2 linked regions of the Tamandua tetradactyla genome follow. The protein of the gene in region 1 purifies or fractionates together with the protein of each later gene. This does not show direct contact. Links are inferred from orthologs where the notes say so. Each region holds a gene or a part of one and is shown on either strand. Other genes may lie near its edges.

Evidence for each region. The genes of interacting proteins can lie anywhere in the genome.
Region 2: the proteins of GSK3A (region 1) and FRAT1 purify together in Homo sapiens (affinity purification with mass spectrometry; 4 studies listed by BioGRID and IntAct, with this or other methods). This does not show direct contact. The link is inferred for Tamandua tetradactyla from reciprocal best matches to the Homo sapiens genes GSK3A and FRAT1.

The regions. Positions count from the first base shown.
Region 1 is NC_135342.1:21,910,442-21,918,527, reverse strand, and holds the start of GSK3A (glycogen synthase kinase-3 alpha), read left to right. Parts: upstream 1-4,759; 5' UTR 4,760-4,902; coding exon 4,903-5,185; intron 5,186-6,932; coding exon 6,933-7,120; intron 7,121-8,086. Other genes in the region: ETS domain-containing transcription factor ERF, read left to right, coding at 1-187. UniProt on the Homo sapiens protein: Constitutively active protein kinase that acts as a negative regulator in the hormonal control of glucose homeostasis, Wnt signaling and regulation of transcription factors and microtubules, by phosphorylating and inactivating glycogen synthase (GYS1 or GYS2), CTNNB1/beta-catenin, APC and AXIN1.
Region 2 is NC_135339.1:58,635,877-58,642,905, forward strand, and holds FRAT1 (proto-oncogene FRAT1), read left to right. Parts: upstream 1-4,834; 5' UTR 4,835-5,026; coding exon 5,027-5,839; 3' UTR 5,840-5,956; downstream 5,957-7,029. UniProt on the Homo sapiens protein: Positively regulates the Wnt signaling pathway by stabilizing beta-catenin through the association with GSK-3. May play a role in tumor progression and collaborate with PIM1 and MYC in lymphomagenesis.

The DNA of each region.
Region 1 (8,086 bases):
CTGGAGTGAAGACTGTCGCTTGGAAGGGGGTGGGGGCACCGCTGGGGGCCTGGAGGATGAGGGTGAGGACAAAAAGGTCCGTGGGGAGGGGCCCGGGGAGGCTGGGGGTCCCCTCACCCCAAGGCGGGTGAGCTCTGATCTCCAACACGCCACGGCCCAGCTCTCTCTGGAGCACCGAGACTCCTGAGGTCTGTGGGCAGGGGACCCATGTGCCCCCATACCCATGCTTCTTTTGCTGCCTTAACCACCCCACCCCCCAATGCCCTGGAGGTGAGGGCAGCTGCCTCTTCTCTGCCTCCTCCCTCTCCCTGCCCCCCCCCCCATATTTTGTATAAAACTTTAATTTTTTTTTTAATGGTCGGGATGGGTGGGTGCCCAGAACTGGGGACTGTCCCCTGTCTGTGGGTTTCTAAGCTCTGGGCAAGGTGGGGGAGGGAGGAGGACGGGAGGGGGGAGGTTAAGGGGGCCACTGCCGTTCTGGGGATTTTTATTTGAATTGAGGCTCTGGTCTCAATACCCAGGAACTTTTTTATTACAATCGCTTAGGAAGTAAAGCCTTGTCTCCCTCCCTGGCCTCTGCCTCTTGCACCTCTCCCTCTTGCCCCACAACCATTCCCAGTCCCAACCCTGCCTTCCTTGCCCCTCCAGGGGCTGTGAGTGCCTGGGCTTCTCATACCCCACAAGGTAACAGCAGGGGAGGGAGGGACAATTTTATGATGAACCAAAAATTCTGCGTGGTGGGCGGTGGGAAGTGGAAGAGGGTGAGGGGTGCCACCCATGGGCCACAAATCTCTTCAAGTGCCTGCTGTCCTTCTCTCATTCCCCACCCAGCACCGGTCCAACCCCTTCACCTTTAGCTGCTCCTAGGACTGGCCCATGGGCAGGTGGGTGGGGGTGGGGTGGGAATGGGCTGCCCTGAAACCAAACTGGAAGCCCCCTCTGCCTCCCAGCAGGGGCCCCTCGGGTGGGGTGGGGGTGGGGGCTGTGGTCAAGCCTTATTCTGTACTGGGCATGGAGGGTGGTGGGGAGGGAGTGAGGGAGGGGCGGCTGGAGAATGTATTCCAAACAATAAAACTTTGGACCTTTTGATGCGGTCATCTGTCTTAAGTGTGGGGCACAGCCTTTGCTTGATTCTGAAGGACAAGGATCTGGTCTGGGTCCTACCTCCCTACCTGCCCCTGTAGATCTGTGGCCAGAGGGTCTGAGCCCAAATGACTGGGTCAAAACGGCCTGGGAAAAATCTCCTGACCTCAGGGCTACATAAACCTCAGGTCACACTCTGGCCTTAGAGCTGACCACTGCCCCATTCTGTAAAGGACCTGCACTTCCATGAAAGTGCTTTCAACTCTTCATCTCTACCCTGTTGCCCAGGCAGTTTAGATGGCTCGAAATGCCCTTCCCTGGTTCTGTGACTCCTTCCCACATCCCGATTCCCCAAGAGAATCAGAGATGGTTTTTTTGCACTCTCACATTCTAACACCGGCACCCTCCTCTGGGTGTTTCTAAACTAATCTGGGGAGTCCTTTGGAGACATGGCCCACTGTGTTTTGAAATGTAGACCTCGCCAGGAACCCTAATGATCTTTGAGGAACCATGGGAACACCCCAAGCCAGCAACTTGAGAAGGGACTGGCTCAATAATTATAGTTGTCATTGATTGGCCTACTTTGTGCCAAGTACTTAGCTAGAAGCTCCTTCAACAACCAGTGAGGTAGGGACGATGGGCACAGTTAAAACGACTGACACGCTCGAGGCCATGAGGCTGTAGGAAGTTGAGCCAGGACTTCTGTGTACAAACTCCAAGTTCTTTTGACAATGGAGTGCTCCCTGAAGCTAAAATGGTTGGCCCAAGATCAGGGACTCCATCACAGGATCTGAGAGGTGAGCTTGTGAAACTAGAAACAGAGATTGGAGTTCTCTGATAATGGCTAAGAGAATGAGAGTGAGGAATTCAGGCCGGAAGTGCCCTTAGAGAAGAGCCTGACCTCTGTAGTGGAGGTGAGGTGCCTGAGGCTGAGAGGGGGAAGGGATTTCCCTAAAGCCACACACCTGCTAAAAGAAGGTAGGGCTCAGGGGCTGCTGGATTGGTTTCACCATGAAATCCCACCCTGTGTAACCCTGAGGGAGAAAGAACATTGGCTGGGTAACTGCTACCCACTCTTGCTTTGACCTCATCTACTGCCAGCCCAGGGTGGGTGGTCCCAGATCATGGATGGCAATGAAGAGAGGATCCAGGGCTGGGATACTGGCAGGAAACCTAGGCTCCCGTGGTGGCCTGCAGGCAACTGCTCCCTCTCCTGGGTGATGTAAGTCACTCCCTGGGGTGGGGACCACTGGGAGCAGCTTCGCTGGGCTATTTCTGGAAGTTGGGCTGAGGTATGTCTCCTGGCAACACAGATGCAGCTGAGAAGTTGGTGGTGGTGGGTGATGGAGAAAGGGGCATGGCATAATTGGGGGGAAGGATAGGACCCTGACTAGTAGCTTCAGCCTCCAGACCAGGTGCCTTCAAAACAACTCTAACCAAGTCTAACATGGATTCAAAAGTCCTCATCTCCAGAATTGCTCTCCTGTTCAGGCCAGGGTCCAACTAGACTTATTGCTCCAGATTCCGGCTGAGTGGGATGCCACACTGTCTGGCACCTGGCCTCAAAATTCCAGCGGCAACCCCAATCTTTAATGACCCACTTAAATTCATTTGCAGGCCTGAAAAGCTAAGTTCCTGTGAGACCACACCCTTGGTCCCTTCCATGTCTTCCAAGATCTCTGCTTCCAAGTAGAAAGTCCCATCAAAGACCCTGTCACCTCTCTAGGCACCTTCAGGCTACTCACAAACATTTACAGCCTATCTTAGTACCCTTCTTTGAACGTTCTCAGCCCCTATGAATGGCCTGATAGATTTCTTCCTACAGTCGCCCTGAGACTCTCGCGGACCCCAGGCTCTTCGGTGGCGGTTGCCCACGCGCGGCCCACTACGCACTTCCCGCGGATTCTGGCCGTTAAGTAACAGTCTTTACCCTGCCTCGTTCGGGCCATCGGCCTTGTGGGCGCGCAGGTTCGCGTTCCCCAAGCCCTCGGGCTTGGTTCACATTTTTGCTTTTCGACTCAGAGCTGCCGTCAGAGGGCAGCAGGCGCTGCTTGGCTGGGAAACTATAACTCCCAGAAAAAATTGCTCCGAGCTGTGCGTGATAAAGTCGCAAGCAGTGAGAAAGAGCGGAACTGTGGCCGTACTTTGCCTTCTGGATAATGTAGTTCGAAACGGCTCCAGCGCTGCCCCCTGTCCTGTCCCCGGGAACTGTGTCCACTGGGAAATGCACTCAGGAATAGATCGAGTGGACGGAACCTTCTCCCGGCTTCCGAAAGGGCAGGGCTGTATACACTTAGGCTCAGATTAAAGTGAAATCCAGGCTCTTTCCCACCATTTCACGAGGCGGGAGGGGCTGAGAGCGTGTTCATCTCAAGTGTTTCCGGAGGCGGGGTGGGAAGGAGACACAAAAACTCTGTTTCCCAGCGTCCTTTGGAACATTCTCCTTCCTGGTATTAATCGATAAATCGGGTAATTCAATGAATGCACAAAGCTTGATGCTGCTTCTTCCAACCGGCTTCCTTGTCTTGAGCCCTCCCGGATTCCGTAATGTAGGAAGCGGAAGACACAGTCTCTTTTAGCTTTCAGCTTAGACTCCTAGTATGATCCACATTGCTAGAAAGTGCTAGCGTATATACGGAGATTGTGTAGTATTCTGAGACATCGTTGGGAACTTAATTTCCTAGATTCTTTGGGTGGGAGGCGCATTTTTCTTTTTCTTCCCGGAATGTAGACATCTAGAACTTGAAGGAGTGCTGGACTACATTTTCCAGCAGCCCCTGGGAATTACATGTCTTAGTATCTGGGGGTTGGGGAAGAAGGCTGAAACAGGTCTACGATTTCCCAGGGGGTTCTGTTTGTTTGCTTTGTTTTTTTTGCCCACACACTCCTGGTGGTATTCATTGGACTCCATTTCCCGACAAGCCCAGGCAGTCTCGTTTCACCGCAGGTCAGGATCCGGGCTGGACTAGTCCCAGCATGCTTTGGGCTCATGGTAAACCCCTACCCCCTCGGTCGATGGGGAGGCAGCCTTGAACTCCATTTCCCAGAAGCCGCAAAGGCTCGCTGTAGACACATCGCTGAAGCCTTGGTGTCAACTACATTTCCCGGTAGGAACTGCGGCCGAGCGTATGGAGTAGAGGCGAGCCATAGCTATTTCATTTTCTAGCCTATCTCCGGAACTGCAGTAGCCACTGGAGGCTCATGGACCACGTGGGACTCCATCTCCCGGAGTGCCTTGGAACCGCTTTACACCCGCATTGCAGTGGGGGTGTGGCAACGACTCCATTTCCCAGCTTGCCACACGGCGGATTTTTGTGAGCCAACGGGCGTAATTTCCTAGAGTGCACCTAACGCGGGCAGGCATGTATGCCCAACGGACTAAGAGGCTGGACTTCACTTCCGGTTACGCAAGAGGTTTATGTCGCTCCCTGATGGAGCGGTTGCAACTATATTTCTGAGGCACACCTCCGAAACGCCTTGCCGTGGTGGAGTGAGTGTGCCGCTCAGACTCTGTTTCCCAAAGTGCTGTAGGGTCGGCCGTCGGCACAGTCGGCCGACGGAGTACCCAGGACTCCATTTCCCGGCGTGCCAAGCGACTCGCTCTACCGCCCGCAGGCCGAGGGCGGTGACGACTGCGCGCCGGAGAGGCGGACTGCAGCTCCCGGCGTGCCCCGCGGCGGGCGCTGGGCTGGAGCCGGAGCCCGAGCCCGAGCGGCGAGGCCTGGAGGAGGCCGGAGCCCGGGGGAGGCGGCAGCAGCGGCGGCGTCGGGGGCAGCCCGGGCAGCCCGAGCCCCTCAGCCTGGGCCTGCTCTCGGCGCCATGAGCGGCGGCGCGCCTTCGGGGGGCGGCCCCGGGGGCTCGGGCCGGGCGCGAACCAGTTCGTTCGCGGAGCCGGGTGGTGGCGGCGGAGGTGGCGGCGGCGGCCCCGGGGGTTCGGCCTCCGGCCCGGGTGGCAGCGGCGGCGGGAAGGCGTCGGTCGGGGCCATGGGTGGGGGCGTGGGGCCCACGAGCTCCGGGGGTGGCCCCAGCGGCAGCGGCGGAACAAGCAGCGGCGGCCCCGGCGCGGGCACCACCTTCCCGCCGCCTGGAGTGAAGCTGGGCCGTGAGTACTGACGGCGCCCTTGGCGGGTGGAGATACGGGTTCCCGAGGCCCCTCAAATGTCGATCAGTTCTTTTCGTACACCCAGATAGGAACCTGAGGTCACTGTGCCTCCCCAAATTGGTGTGTGAGCTTGCTCCCTTCCGGAGGAATGCGTTTAGGGGGGTACCATCGCTTGGAGTTTAGGATCACAATTACTAACCCTCAAAGAAATAAGGAGTCACAGGTTCTTGTTTTTCCAAAACTTAGATCTTGATCTCTTGAGCCTTAAAAACAGGAATCTGACATTCCATCCCCTAGAGAACAAATTCATTGTTATACTGTCCTCTTACAAAAACAAGATTAAGATCACCACCCCCTTCCACAAAGGGGTCTCAGAATTTGCTCTCCCTCAGAGAAGAGTCAACACCACTTAGAAACAGGGATTTGGGATTATTGTGTCCCCAAATAATAAGACAGAGTTTTTCAAACTTGGTGTCCTGGTTGTCTTCTCTTTTAAAATACAAGGTCTGTTGCCATTGCTCTTTCACAGTTTGTAGAACTGTACCGCCAATGGTGGAAATTAATGGTTACTGTTTCTTAGAAATAAGGACAAGTGTCACCAGTCCTCCAGAAGTGGGATTAAGAGTTACTGTATCCTTCAAGTCCATAGTCACTGCTCTTCAAAAAAAAAAAAATGGTGGGTCTCCACAAAAATGGAATGAAGGGACACAATTCCCCCATAGAGTATGGACCAGAGGTTATAAGTTTCAATAATTATTTTGGGGCATGTGTCATTGATTTTGAAATAAATCACAATGTAGGGTCATCTTCCAAAAGAAAGTGTGATGGCCCTTCAAAGTGAATTAGGGTCAGCAGCTTCATCCAAGAAAAGCAGTGACCATCTCCTAGCAATGGCATGAAGGTTTGCTGCCTTAAGAGAATAGAATTTGGGAATCAGAGTTTAAGGATAGCCTTCTAAGAGTAGAGATTAGGTTCACTATTCTAACAATATGATGCTTCTTGGTTAGGGACCATCCATACAGTGAGGATTGTGGGACTGTGAACCACCCAGATGAGGAGGTCAGATCAGTGCGTTTTCTAACATGAAAGTATTTGAATAAGGGGTAACTTTCCAAAAAGTGAGGTCAGGGCATTACCATTCATGTTAGAAGAGTTCATTTATTCAGTCATCAAGAACCAGTGGTGAAGTTACCTGCTCTACCCAGTAGGACTTAAAGGTCACTATTTGCCAAACTGAGAAACCAAAGGTTAGTGCTTTCCCAGAGTAGGAGTAGCTCAGGGCTCAAGGTTACTGTTCCCTTAAGTGGAAGAGGTTAGGTCAGGCTTCTCCCCAGACAGGAGGGGCCAAAGATCAGTAAGCCCAGAGTGGATAGATTCAACGTGTGTGTGTCTCTGTGTGTCTCTGTGTGTATGTCTGTGTGTGTGTCAGTGTCTCCCCATAGTAAGACCAGTGATTTGTGGCTTACTGGAAATTGGGGTTAACTAGTCCTTGAACTGCAAAACAGTTTAGGTGTCAATATCTTCATGTACAGGAGGAGGCAGAATTAAGGTTTACATGAAGGGGAGAGGGGAAAGGTCACTGGGAGAGCTCCAGCATCCACCTTTCTCACGGAGAGAGAAGGGACAGAGGTCACACACAGATCTCTTTTCCCCTCTCCCCTCAAAGCTCTGGGGGGTGGTGGTGGTGGTGGTGGTTAATGTTCAGAGGGGAAAGGTTAGTCAATTGTGTGTCCCTTTTGTCCCCCAGGTGACAGCGGGAAGGTGACCACAGTGGTAGCCACCCTAGGCCAGGGCCCAGAGTGCTCCCAGGAGGTGGCTTACACAGACATCAAAGTGATTGGCAATGGCTCCTTTGGGGTCGTGTACCAGGCACGGCTGGCTGAGACTGGGGAGCTGGTGGCCATCAAGAAGGTTCTCCAGGACAAAAGGTTCAAGGTAACTTGGGGGAAATGGGGACAAGGAGGTTTGGGGACAAGGAAGTTTGGGGACTGGGCATTACTGGTGAGAGAGCCCCAGCATGATAGCTGAGAGCTTGGGATTTCAGAGGGGGCTCTGAGCATGGCCCAGAGAAGGGAAGGAAATGAAATGTGTAGAAGAGAAAAAAGTGGGATCCAGGAGTCCAAAAAGAGTCCAAAGCGCAGTTTCATTCTTTCATTCTGCTTTACAGGGTCTCTTGTTTAATTTACATAAAAATTCTCTAAGGATTAAGGTTTGGTACTATATAGTTACTCCTATTCTAAGTAAGAGGAAATTGAGACTCAGATAAGAGAATTGCCTGAGGTCAAAACTAGAACATGGCCTGTGATTCCCAAGCCCTGCATCCTAACCACTAGATAACATCCCCCTCCCAGCCGACAGAGAAAGGAAATTGGCAGGGCTGTTGCTGATGTTTATGAAGATCCTGAAGGCTGCGCTCTGCCCCAGGTTGTTTGGCGATATAGGGTGAAATCTAGTTCTCTGCCCCCTACTCACAAACCATGCGCTTCGGTGCAGGTCTCTGTCACCTTGAGAAAGGGATACCCTTTTGTCATTCATACAAAGATGTTCTATGAGCTAGTGGAGACCCAGGGAACTAGAAGAACATGGAAGAGATGGAAGTCAGGGATGAGGGCTATTTGAAGTACTGGCATTTTGGAATCTAAGCTAGTCTGGATATAGGAGAAGTGAGTCTAGCCTGGAAGTGGACCCAGGTCAGGGCCTGGGTCTTAGTAGTGAGAATTCTTGGGCAGGAGGAGTTCCAGGTGTCAGCCAGAACTTCATTAGAGTTGAATCCTAGAATGAGGGGGTCAGGGGTTCTTAGCACACACACCCCACCCCCAAGGGAATAGAGGGGAGGAAGAAGCTCAGACCAGGTCTCCTGGGAGGAGTCTAAGGCTTGGGCTCCTTTGAGAAGGTAAGGAT
Region 2 (7,029 bases), on another chromosome or scaffold:
ATATTCATTAGTTGCTGGGTATTCCAATTGTTCATTTCTATTTTGGGGCTGTTACAAGTAATGCTGCTGGTTGACATTTATGTACAAGCTTGTACAGACATATATTTTCAAATCTCTTGAAGATATACCTAGGAGTGGAACTGCTGTATTATATACTAATATTAACATTTTATTACACTTGCTCTATCATATATCTACCCATCTAACCATGCTTCTGTCCATACATTGATCTACCTTCATTTTTGGGTACTTATATAGTACCTAACTTAATATCTTGGTGAACAGTCCTCTTCAAATAAAGTCATTATATGTAATCACACTCAAAAAAATGCACAGTATCTCACCACTAAATTTCTCATGTCTATTATTAACTAGAATTCAGTATCTGTTTATAGTTTTTTCTTTTCATATAAAATTTATATGTAATGAAATCGTGAGTGTACCAGTCAATGAGTTTTGGCACATGCATACACCTGTGAATCCCTAATCCCTATCAAGATAAAGAGTATTATCAGGACCACCTCAAGTCCCCTCAGGCCTCTTCCCAGCCAGTCGCTGCCCCTGCTCCTGCCCCCACCTTCTCCAAAGACAATCAAGTCTTCTGATTTTTCCACCAAAAACTAGTTTGCCCTGTTCTAGAACTTCATATATAAAGAATCATGTGGGGTGGGCCACAGTGGCTCAGCAGGCCTGCCATGCCAGAGGACCCAGGTTCGATTCCCGGTGCCTGCCCATGTTAAATAAATAAATAAATAAATAAAATTAAAATAAAGAATCACGTGTGTGAAGGACTGAATCGTATGCTTCAGCTGGGACATGCTCTTGGTCTTGGTTCTCATTCTGGTGGGTGTAGACCCATTGTAAATAAAATTAAAAAAAAAAGATGTTGTTTCAGTTAAACTATGGCCTACCTGAATCAGGTTGTACTTTAATCTGGATTATTGGAGTCCTTTATAAACAGAGTGAAAGTTAGACAGACAGAAGCCACAGGGAGTAGCCAGAAGCTGAAAGTCAACAGAACCAGGAAGAGACACAAAACACTGCCATGTGCAGTGCCACGTGCCCAAAAGTTAAGAACCAAAGATCGCCCACTGTCAGCTCCAGAATGCCACCATCTTCTGGTAGAAAGTATCACCTAACACTTCAATTTTGGACTTTTCCTAGCCACAAAACTGTGAGCCAATAAATGCCCAGTATTTAAGTCAACCCATTTACGGTATTTGCTTTAGCATCTATACAACTAAAAACAACATGTTGGTCTCTTTTTTGTGGTGCCTCGGAGGCAATTGGTTGCCTCAGTATGAAGTTGAGCATCTCCTTGCCAACCACTGGCTACCAGAAGCTCACTGAAGTGGACAATGAACACCAACTCCACACCTTTTATGAGAAGTGAATGGCCACAGAAGTTGCTGCTGACCCTCTGGGTGATGAGTGGAAGGGTTATGTCATCGAATCACTGGTGGAAATGACAAACAAGATTTCCCCATGAAGCAGGGTGTCTTGACCCATGGTTGTGTCCGCCTTTTACTGAGTAAGGGGCATTCCTGTTATAGACCAAGAAGAACTGGAGAAAGAAAGCGCAAATCTGTTCAGAGTTGCATTGGAGATGCCAATCTGAGTGTTCTCAACTTGGTTATTGTAACAAAAGGAGAGAAGGAAATTCCTGGACAGACTGATACTACTGTGCCTCGTCGCCTGGGGCCCAAAAGAGCCAGAAAAATCCGCAAACTTTTCAATGTCTCTAAAGAAGATGATATCTGCCAGTATGTAGTGAGAAAGTCCCTGAACAAAGAAGGTAAGAGACCCAGGACCAAAGCACCCAAGATTCAGCATCTTGTTACTCCACCCCGTCCTACAACATAAACGTCAGTGTATTGCCCTGAAAAAACAGGATACTAAGAACAATAAGGAAGAGTCTGCAGAATATGCTGAACTTTTGGCCAAGAGGATGAAGGAGGCCAAAGAAAAATGCAGGAACAGATTGTCAAGAGACGGATGCTGTCCTCTCTGAGAGCTTCTACCTCTAAGTCTGAGTCCAGTCAAAAATAAGATTTTCTGAGAGTTGCAAATAAATAAGATCAGAGATTAAAAAACAAACAAAAAAACCCCATGGTATATGCCCTTTTTTGTCTGACTTCTTTCACTTAGCATAGTGTTTTCGAGATTCATCCATGTTTAAATGATTCATTTTTGTTGCTGTAGCTCTTTTTCGTTTGTGAATAGTATTCCTTGGTTAGCATCCTATAATTTGATTTTCTATCCATCTATTGATGAACATTTGGGCTTCTTCCAGTTTTTGGCTTTTATGAATAAAGCTGCTAGTGATCATCTACCTATAAGCCTTAATGTGGACCGATATTTTGTATTCCCTTTGTTAAAATATCTAGGATTGGAATTGTGTGTTATAAGGTAGGTGTATGTTTACTTTCAGAAGAAACTGTCCAATCTTCTTCCAAAGTAGTTGTACCGTTTCTCATCCCCAAGACAAAGTATGAGTATGAGGCTTGTGAATTTTGAAACAAAGAATAAAAACACAAATTGTTAATTGCTACTAACTAGTTTCTTCTTAAATTTTTACATAATCAGGTTCAGAATATTATAATTAATAAATGGCTGTCTTACTGTACCTTCAAATGACCTATGATTTAAAATGAGGTGAGGACTCTTTCATGATAAAAAAAACACTCAACAAAGCAGGAATAAAAGGTGTTTCGGTTTTCTAAAGCTGCCAGAATGCAATACACCAGAAATTATGGCTTTTACAATGGGGATTTATTAGTTTACAAAATAGTTTTAAGGCCATAAAAATATCCCAATTAAGGCATCAACAGGATACCTTCTCTGAAGAAATACCACTGGCCTCAGGGTTCCTCTGTTGGATAGCAAGGCACTGGCTGGCATCTGCTTGTCCTTTGCTCCAGAGTTTTGTTGTTTTCAGCTCCTCGTTCCAGTGGCCTCCTCTCTGAGCTTCTGCAGGTTATCTCTGAGTTTCTCTGGGGCTTTTCTGTATGAGCTCTCTTGGTGTTTCTCTAGGAGCTCTCTGGGCTTTTTCTGTCTTTTGTCCTCTCACAAAGGACTCCAGTAAAAGGATGAAGACCACCTTGAATGGGCTGGGTCACATCTCAATTGAAATAACCTAACCAAAAGTTCTGACCCACAATAGGTCTAGCACCCACAGGAATGGGTTAAAAAAAACATGGCCTTTTCTGGGGTACACAACAGCTTCAAAACAGCACAGAAGGGAACTTCTTCAACCTGATAGAGATCATTCAAGAAAAACCCACAGCTAATATACTTAATGGTGAAAGAATGAATGCTTTCCCCTAACAATCAGGAACCAGACAAGAATGTCCACTCTGATCACTTCTATTCAACATCGTTCTAGGGGTTCTAGCCAGGGCAATTAGGCAAGAAAAATAAAAGGCATCCAGATTGGAAAGGGAGATGTAAAACCAACTCTAGTGCAGATGGCATGATCTTGTATACAGAAAATCCTAAGGAACCCACTAAAGTGAGAGGAAAAATTTTATGACACTCTGAAGAAGCCAGATTATCTGGCTTTAGAAATTCAATGGCTTTCTTCATACTGCCTCTTACTCTATTTCCACATCCCTCTGCACTTGACAAAACTAAACCTAGTTCTTTTAAAGCCAATTCTTCTACCTCTTCTCTCCTCCCCACCCACCCATTTTTAAAAATTGCTCCTGTAATTGTCATCCTCAGCACCATCCACCAAAACCCTTGTTTTCTTAACTGTATCCCCAGGCTCAGTCTCTTCCTTTTGCACCCCTCTTTTTAAATCTTGACACTCTCCTGCTCAATACTTTAAAGTAGGCTTCCCACTGCCAAACTCCTAGTTAGTTTCTGTGTGTTTGTGTCTGTGTGTCTTTTGTGGCTAATTTTTGAAACAACTTATTGATTAACATATCATAAAATTCACTCATTTTAAATGTACATTCAACGATTTTTTGTACATTTACTGAATTTGGCAACCACCATCATAATCCAATTTAAGAATATTTCCATCACCCTGATAATATCCCTCAATAATTTGTCTTAAAAAAAAAAAGTCTACCTCAAGTTGGGTGTTTATAGGTTAAACCTGCGGGGTTTAGGATTTTTAAATAAATGTCCAAAGCCTCCCGGCAACGTGAGGCTAAAGGATCGTTTTCTGCTTCTCCCCTACTGGGCTGAGGCATTCCAGCTAACACACCCTCCCAGCTCACACCTCCTCTCTCCAGTTAGGCCAGCCCTAGACCAGGACCCCCACACCCAGCCTCCTGAGAAGAAAAACCATTTATCTGTGTCCTTTCTTTGCCATCTCCAACTCCGCCTCTCCCACTCACACCACAATATCGCTTCTTTCGCTCCATCCCGGTCAACTTCGGGTTTCCTCACCTCCAGTCGGGCCCCTAGGCTGACTCCCTCTCCTCTCCATCCTCTCCTCCCCAGCACTCCACGCCGCCACTCCCCAGACACCTCCAATCCGGATCTCCAGAGCTGCAAGCTGAAACCAGAAGAGCCGGCGCGCTGAGACGAAGGCTGTGTAAGTGTGCGGGTGTAAGTGTGCGTGCCTGTGTGTGGAAGAAACCAACAGAGTCCGGGCTGGTGTCCATGTTTTGAAAATACTCATCACTTGGGCTGAGGGAATAAGGAACAGCTCCCCGGTGCGCCGCGACTCAGAGCCCTCAGTGGTCGGGAACGCAGAAGCAGCAAGACTTCCCGGTGGACGCCCGCCGTGGGGGGAACCCGCCCCTCAACTGGCGCAGCACCCCCCAGCCCCGACGCGGTGGTAGGACCCGGCGCCGACGTCACCCATTGTTTACAAATCAACCCGAGCCGGTAGGATTCGGCTCCCGCCGCTACTAGCGCGCGGCTCTACTGCCCGGCGGTCTCCGGTTTCCGCATCGGCTCCGGCCGGGGCTTGGGTCTCAGGACCGCCCCTCTACTGCGGCCCACCTAGCCCCAAGGAGGGTCAAGCAGCCAGCGACGCCCGCAGAGCTCCGCGGTGCCCGGGCGGGAGGCCATGCCGTGCCGGAGGGAGGAGGAAGAGGAAGCCGGCGAGGAAGCAGAGGGGGAGGAGGAGGAGGAGGAGGAGGACAGCTTCCTCCTGCTGGAGCAGTCGGTGACGCTGGGCGGCTCGGGCGAGGTGGACCGGCTGGTGGCCCAGATCGGCGAGGCGCTGCAGCTGGATGCGGCTCAGGACAGCCCGGCCTCCCCGTGCGCGCCCCCGGGGCCGCCGCTGCACCCCCCGCGGCCCCCCACCTTGCCGCTGCTTCTGCCACTCGCGTCCGCGGAGGCCACGGGCCTGGCGCCCCCCGGGGCCCTGCGCTGCGCTGTAGGGGACCGCGGCCGCGTGCGAGGTCGGACTGCGCCCTACTGCGTGGCGGAGCTCGCGGTGGGTCCCAGCGCACTGGCCCCATTACCCTTCCAGCCTGGCCTTGATGGACCAACCGGAGCGAGCAAGGGGAGTGCTCCGCAGACGCTGTCGGGCCCGTGCCGGCGAGGATGGCTCCGAGGCGCCGCCGCATCCCGCCGCCTCCAGCAAAGACGCGGCCCCCAACCCGAAGCCGGCACAGGCGATGACGACCCGCATAGTCTCCTGCAGCAGCTTGTGCTCTCAGGCAACCTCATCAAGGAGGCGGTGCGAAGACTGCACTCACGACGGCTGCAGTTACACACAAAGCTTCCCCAGCGTCCGCCGCTGGGACCTTTGTCGGCCCCAGTGCACGAGCCCCCTTCACCTCGCAGCCCTCTCGAGGCCTGCAGTGACCCGTGTGCCTCTGGCAGGAGGGTGCAGCTCAGAACTGCAGACAGCATTCTCGTACCCGGCAGCTAGCACTCCGGTGGTAGCCACAGTCCGGCCTTTTACTTGGAGGCAAGGGGTACCCTGAGGGCTGTAAGCCCTGCTTGAGACCGACAGAGAACTTCGCGCCTTTGGAAAAGGGGGGGGGGGGGGGGGGGAAGGTATTGAAGAAAGGAATTCAAAAATCGCGAACGTTTCGCGGAGAACTGGAGTGAAGGCCCCCAATGTGATTGAGATAACCTGTCTTGGCCCTATTTAAGGCAAATTGCATTTCGCACCCCAGACTCAGTCAGTAGGACTCCTTATTTGGCGTGTCCCGTCTTGGCCCCACAGAGTGCAGTTCCCCGCAGCCTCACAGGGCCCTTCAGCCGGGTCGCCATGTGGCTAACAGTCCACGCTTCTCAGGCCCGCAGTCTCCAAAGGAGACCGCCCAGAACCCGGGCTTAAGCTGGTGGATAATCCAGTTACTTGATTTACCTTTTCTGGGCTGGCTCCTGATCCATTTGGAGGGGCGGGGACGGGGAACGAGATACATGAGTGGACGATGATTTCAGGGAGCACTGCAAACTGCCAGAGTTGAAAATTTATGACACTTTAAAAAACTCCAGCTCATATCTTTTGGAGTGCTGGCTCTTAATAGAAAACACACGGTACCACTAAAGGAAGCTTTTGGAGTTGAACAGGAAAAACTTTTCTCTTTGCCTCTTTGCTTTGCAACTGGCTACTGATTTCAGAGCCGTCGGGGAGGCTGTAGTTCTGGGTGGGGATGGGTGAGTCTGGCGCAGGAGAGGGTGTAGCAGGATAGAAAGATAAGGTGAAGCGCGGAGTGATCCGTCAGTCCTTTTCTAAAAGTGGATTTTAACAGCGCGCCCACCCCTCCTCGGGTTCAAGGTCACTGTTTTCCCGGACACGCACTAGGTTGCAGGGCTTCATGAGGGCAGAAGGATCGTGGGGTTCTTCCTGTACTCCCAAAAGAACGCTGTGTTTTGCAAGTGAGGTGGCTCCTGAGGACACGCGGACTGCCGCCACAGTGGGCGTGGGGAGGCAGGGACGTGCCCGGCGCCTGTGCTGCCAGCGGGCGGCCGCCGCCCCTGGCGCGCTCCGGGTTTTCGTGCAAACTGTGTTGAGGCGAGGCCCTGGCTCCCTCCTCTCTCCCCGTTGGCCCCCCTGTCCTACTGGCACCCACGCTCTGGGGGCCCTCTCCAGGGGCTGGGGGAACGCCA